2 linked regions of the Kluyveromyces lactis genome follow. The protein of the gene in region 2 interacts with the protein of the main gene of each other region in a biochemical or structural test. Links are inferred from orthologs where the notes say so. Each region holds a gene or a part of one and is shown on either strand. Other genes may lie near its edges.

Region 1 (2,597 bases), on a different chromosome or scaffold from region 2:
AAAGGGTCCCTTTAGATTTATCTGAATAACGTCACAGTACAATATAGATGAATATTAGTAGGATAACAATTACTTGTTAAAGGTATTTATTTGGAGAGAGAGCAACAAAACTGAATATTTATACATCCTAACAAGATAGGAGTGGTTGGTAGACAGTTTCAAACGTTGTTATCACTTACCTATTTACATACTAATTGGTACCATTTTCGCCCCTTCAAAGTTTCAAAAAAATGTCCTGACTATGGGAAAATTGCGGGGAACCACGTGACTCACACGAGTTATTCCATTTGCGGCACACAGTTGCAACTGGTGATTCCAGCATCCAGACGTTAACCGTATAACTGGAGGATATAGGTCCTCTCTCATGGCTTTAATTTCTCAGTTTTCAGTTGAATATACATGTATATATTACTTGAAATGGTATTATGTCCAAGGTTTTGTCCCTCAGTTTCTTTTATTGGAAGTTCAGGTTTAGATATCAATAGTTGGAGTGAATGCAGTATATGCTAGTTTTGATGGATGAAGTGGATATGAGCATTAACTTTTAACTTTCAAATTTCAATCGTCGTCGTCACTGACTTCTATATCACTTAGTTCCATACTATCGTTATCGTCATGTGCTTGCTCGTCGTCTGATTCGTCCATATCCGCATCCTCATCCTCATCATCTGTATCATCGGAACTGTTCCATTTCCCAAACTGCTGTATGTATTTTTCCTTGGTAGCGTATTTGTTGATGTATTCATGTATCTTTTGTTCATACATATCTTTATCCTTCAGTTGCAACGTTGCTGCTTCGTTATTCAAAGGGTCCGACCCATTTGGCTCCTTCAACAACCCTGGGATCATCCATTCCACGATGTTTAAAAGGTCGTATAGCGGAGACCACGTAGAGTTGATCACGTCCAAACAGATCGACCCGGATGCAGCATCGATGTTCGGATGGAATATCTTGTTGACAAACCCTATACTGGGCGATTTGTAAGGATAGTTGTCAGGTAACTCAACGTGTAACCTCCACACCCCCTTTTCATACGGTGTATCCTTGGGACCATGAAATTTTATATGGAACTCTTGCATCTTATCTTCAACCAACTCAACGTCATGATCACTCATCAAAAGTTTCATGACGTCCGTTTCGATCCTCCTTTTTGAATTAGAACTGATTTCAAAAATGTAAACTTGTCGTTTATACACAAGTATATCGTGTAACGAGCCATTCAAGATTATAGTTAGTATTCTGAACAGATCATTCAAACTTTAGTCATAAAAGATACTGAGACACAGCATCTTAAAAAAAAGAAAAAACTCCATTTCAACGAACATACCTCATCTTTAATTAATAAGCTTGACCGTAGCGTGCCTATCGAATACAATAACGCGATATCAGCACCAAACGATTCTATTATCGTTGTCTTAACGCCTGGAACAGCAAAAGATGATGAGTGCTTTCCTTGTTGAAGGGGTTAGCAACTTAAAAGGATCTTTTTGAAGTTCACTTTCCACAATTTTCAAATTCAATGATGGCAGAAGACAGGAAGTCACGTGACAGGAAGAGCAAAAAAAATAGAATACAATGCACAAAAGAGAACCTCTCGGAATTGGGCAGCTTGTATCATAGCATCCCCGTCTTATTAATCTGATTCTGATTTCAAAGTCTCAACTTCTTGTTGTACCGATTGAAGCCTTTTCCTCAGAGAAGCCAGTTTCTTTTCGCGGTCTTCTGACGAACCAAGAAACAATTCGGTTCTGCTACTGTCGTCCAACAAGTTGAAAAGCTCCACCATATTAGCTCTTCTAGACAATAGGTCTTCTGCTGTGATTGTCTTGAGATTGACTTTCAAATCTTGTGGTTGTTCGGTTCCTTGCGTGGTGGTCATTGCGAAATACGATAATACTTTGATAAAACACTGACAAGATGTCGAAAATAACCAGAAGACACAATGGTTGCAGCTAATACGAGTAAAGCTTTCTGAAATGATATCAATTCCAGCGGATACTGAGTCGTTGATACTGAGTCGTTGATACTGAGTTGCTTAGTGAGAAAGAACGAGGATTTCAACGAGCATCTGAACAGATGTAGATGTTTATATCTGTTTAAAACTAGAGATTTCCCATTAAAAAAAAAAAATACGTAAAAGTATATGAAATGAGTTTAGTGCAGAGATTGAAATCTGGCAAACTACCTCAAAGATGAGAAACTGGGCAACGGCAACGCATCAACCAGTTATCATTATCACTCGCATAATTTACATTAATGACAGATTTATCTAACGTACACTTACACGATTTACTGAGCGAAACTTTGTACATAAACTTGGATCAGAAACGATCTTTGACCGGGAAGCTCATCGCTATTGATTGCAAAGCAAACCTTCTACTGGATGAAGTGGTCGAAAATAATGACGGCCATGTACGGAAGATGGGTTTAGTAAGTGTACCATTTGTTTCTGTACGGTCCGTAAAAGTTAGAAGGGAACTGGTCGACACTATCAATGCTCTGAAATTGAATATTTCTTCCCAATACGTATGATAATACAAATTAAAATAAAAAACTGATCTAACTGTTCCCAATAGGTACCTACAGACTTAATATT
Region 2 (4,198 bases):
AATTGCAATGGTGGCTATCCTTCTCCAGTTATTTCTCTTGCCCTTGGCCATCTTCACACGGATAGCGCAAGTTATGAACCACTAATCAACACCAGGGCTCCCGCTCGTAGTGATATACCGTTGAGAGTCTAGCTGATGGAGGAATAAGTATGTATTGTTTATCATTGATAATACCATTTCCATAGTTGAAACACTCATTCTTAAAGAAATTCATTACCCGGATATATAATTTACTATACTTTTACTATACCTGGTTTCGATCATGCAAATAACGATGGATCCTCCACTTTGAAGCTCGAGATCATGTCCCGAAGCAACGAATAGGACGCGTGCACCCTTTGAGGTAGCTTTTCCGGTGAGTTTTGCGCAATTGCCTGTTCCATGGCCTTCAGTTCTTGTTCCGATGAGATAGGCACGTGAACAGAAATGATGACGTCGGTATCGAATTGATCCAACCTGAGCAATGCAACACACATTACTACGGTTTCCTTCATCGATTGTTTGCCCCACTTGTATGCGGTCTCAACAACGATACATGTCTGTGATTTGAGTTCCGTTTGCTCTTGATGGTCAATTACTGTCCATTTCTGTGATCCGTTGAGTTCTGAAATTTCTGCCAAATGGATATCTAACGCTTTTCTGTCATTATTCTCTTCCACACGCTGCATTAGGTCTACGATCACACTTTCATCGAACCCGAGCCCATCCTCACTAGGTTCATTCTCACGTCTGCTATTCACGAACACTTCCTGTGTGTCTGGTACTTGCCTTAGCATTGAAGCATCAAGAAACGTCTTGGGAATGACGGTGCTGATGGCACCGCCGTACAATTCTTGTCTGATCCAATGGGACATGGAAAATTAGATATATAGGGTTGTCAGACTGTGGGTAGAGTAAACAATCGCGCTGTCCTTGCCAGTCGAAGTCTCTCCCTCTCTCTTTATCTCTTGAGAAGGACATCTCGTCTTCAAGGTAAGGGAAAATCAAATATCACATTTGACGAACATTCAAATATTATGTGGTGTGCTGGTGTAAATGCATTTATTGTATGCAATGATGGCTTCAAGCATGCCAAATGGGTTTAAATCAAGTGATTACTGTCTCGTATTAATTAATTATTTACGAAACAATTTATATGGGCTCTTGGAACCATACTATCACCTCAAATGCTTCACTTTCTGTCGTATTGTATTCGAACATCTTCCATTCATATCACGTGACTGAAAACTCAACCACTCACGTGACCGAACCCAAAGTGGCAAAAACCGAATTAATAAGGCCAACAACCTATAAACAACTACAAACCAGTTTCCTTAAAACAACAATAGCAACAAGAAGTGAACCGTTCGTTCATTTTGATCACATTGCATCACAAGTTAGTATCAGATATGACGAATATTAAGGTTGATGGCGAAGAAATTGACGAGAGCTTGTACTCTCGTCAATTGTACGTATTAGGTAAAGAAGCGATGTTAAAGATGCAACATTCGAACGTTTTGATCATTGGGTTAAAAGGTTTAGGTGTCGAGATTGCCAAGAACGTTGTCTTGGCCGGTGTTAAGTCTTTAACCCTTTATGATCCAAGCGCTGTCGCTTTACAGGATCTTTCTACGCAGTTTTTCCTGTCAGAACAAGATATTGGGCAAGCTAGAGATAAAGTATCACAGGCAAAATTAGCCGAATTAAACTCATACGTGCCAGTGAAGGTGCTAGAGGGGCTAGAAGACGTGTCACAATTGTCTGAATTCCAAGTAGTTGTTGTGACAGACACGATTTCACTAGAAGAAAAGGTGAAGTTGAATGAGTATACACACTCTCACGGTATCGGTTTCATTTCTACGGAGACCCGTGGGTTATTTGGTAACGTTTTCGTCGATTTAGGTGAAGAATTTACCGTTATTGATACTACTGGTGAAGAGCCAAAGACAGGTATTGTTTCTGATATCGAGTCGGATGGTACAGTGACCATGTTGGACGATAACAGACATGGGTTAGAAGATGGCAATTACGTCAAATTCTCCGAGGTGGAAGGTCTTGAGAAGTTGAATGATGGTACTCCTTACAAGGTCGAGGTGTTGGGTCCGTTCGCATTCAAGATTGGTTCTGTTAAGGATCTTGGTACATACAAGAAAGGTGGTCTGTTCACCGAGGTCAAGATGCCACAGAAATTAACGTTCAAGTCTTTAAGGGAATCTTTGGCAACACCAGAGTTCCTGTACTCGGATTTCGCCAAATTCGAGACTACTGCACAATTACACTTGGGTTTCCAGGCCCTACATCAGTTCCAAGTTAGACATCAAGGTGAATTGCCAAGGCCATTTTATGAAGAAGATTCTAATGAATTAGTTAAACTCGTTATAGATTTAGCTACACAACAACCTGAAGTGCTGGGTTCTGAGGGGAAAGTTGATGAAAAGCTCATCACAGAACTAGCTAACCAAGCAAGAGGTGATATTCCAGGTATCGTTGCTTTCTTCGGTGGTCTGGTTGCTCAAGAAGTGTTAAAGGCCTCCTCCGGTAAGTTCACTCCTATTAAACAGTACATGTATTTCGATTCCATCGAATCTCTACCAGATTCTGAAGATTTCCCAAGAAATGCAGATACCACGAAACCAATCAACTCTCGTTACGATAACCAAATTTCCGTATTCGGTTTGGAATTCCAAAAGAGAATCGCAAATTTGAAGGTATTCCTAGTGGGTTCAGGTGCGATCGGTTGTGAGATGCTCAAGAATTGGGCTTTACTAGGTTTGGCTTCTGGCCCTGAAGGTAAAATTATTGTTACCGACAATGACTCAATTGAAAAGTCGAATTTGAATCGTCAATTCTTGTTCAGACCAAAGGATGTCGGCAGAAATAAATCTGAAGTTGCTGCTGATGCTGTAAGTGCAATGAATCCTGATTTGAAGGGCAAGATCGAGCCAAAGATTGACAAAGTTGGTGCTGAAACAGAGAATATTTTCAACGATGCTTTTTGGAATCAATTAGACTTCGTTACCAACGCATTGGATAATGTGGATGCTCGTACCTATGTCGACCGTCGTTGTGTGTTCTACAAGAAACCTTTACTAGAATCGGGAACATTGGGGACAAAGGGTAATACACAAGTGGTTATCCCTAACCTGACAGAATCTTATTCATCTTCAAGAGACCCTCCTGAAAAGTCAATCCCATTGTGTACATTGCGTTCATTCCCTAATAAGATTGATCACACTATCGCTTGGGCCAAATCCCTATTCCAAGGCTACTTCTCTGACGCAGCTGAAAATGTTAACCTATACTTGACGCAACCAAACTTCGTAGAACAAACTTTGAAACAAGCCCCAGATGCCAAAGGTATCTTAGAATCAATTAGTGATTGTCTAAACAATAGACCTTACAACTTTGAAGATTGTGTCAAATGGGCAAGATTAGAATTTGAAAAGAAGTTTAGTTATGATATCCAACAGTTTCTTTACAACTTCCCTAAGGATGCAACAACATCCACCGGGGAGCCATTCTGGTCTGGTCCAAAGCGTGCCCCTGAACCATTAGTCTTCAATATCGAAAACCCAGATCACTTCCACTTCATCGTTGCATCTGCTAACTTGCGTGCGTTCAATTATGGTCTAAAGGGAGATGATGGTAAACCAGACATTAACTACTATCAATCCGTCCTATCAAAGCTTATAGTTCCTGAATTTATTCCAAAAGCTGACATCAAAATTCAAACCAATGACGATGAACCAGATCCAAACGCGAACAACCAGCTTGGTGGCGATGTCTTAGAAAACTTGGCAGCTTCTTTGCCAGATGCTTCTACCTTAGCTGGTTTCCAACTAATCCCAGTTGAATTTGAAAAGGATGACGATACAAACCATCATATTGAGTTCATTACTGCTGCATCGAACAACCGTGCTCTAAACTACTCTATCGAACCAGCTGATCGTCAAAAGACTAAGTTCATTGCTGGCCGTATCATTCCTGCCATCGCTACAACCACTGCTTTGGTTACAGGATTGGTCAACCTAGAACTATACAAAGTCGTCGCTGGAAAGACAGATATTGAACAATACAAGAACGGGTTTGTGAATTTAGCTCTTCCATTTTTCGGTTTCTCAGAACCAATCGCATCACAAAAGGGTAAATACAATGATAAGACTTTCGATAAAATATGGGATAGATTCGATATTCAAGGTGATATCACATTAAGAGAGTT

Evidence for each region.
Region 1: of the proteins of UBA1 (region 2) and UBC8, one has a biochemical effect on the other in vitro, tested with the Schizosaccharomyces pombe proteins (2 studies listed by BioGRID). The link is inferred for Kluyveromyces lactis from reciprocal best matches to the Schizosaccharomyces pombe genes uba1 and ubc8.

Annotation. Positions count from the first base shown.
Region 1 is NC_006037.1:973,197-975,793, forward strand, and holds UBC8 (E2 ubiquitin-conjugating protein UBC8), read right to left. Parts: upstream 1,334-2,597; coding exon 1,329-1,333; intron 1,163-1,328; coding exon 559-1,162; downstream 1-558. Other genes in the region: HTL1 (Htl1p), read right to left, coding at 1,635-1,880; MAK31 (Mak31p), read left to right, coding at 2,258-2,533; MAK32 (Mak32p), read right to left, coding at 2,590-2,597.
Region 2 is NC_006038.1:1,252,846-1,257,043, reverse strand, and holds the start of UBA1 (E1 ubiquitin-activating protein UBA1), read left to right. Parts: upstream 1-1,388; coding exon 1,389-4,198. Other genes in the region: HOC1 (alpha-1,6-mannosyltransferase), read right to left, coding at 1-51; Ran GTPase-binding protein MOG1, read right to left, coding at 261-854.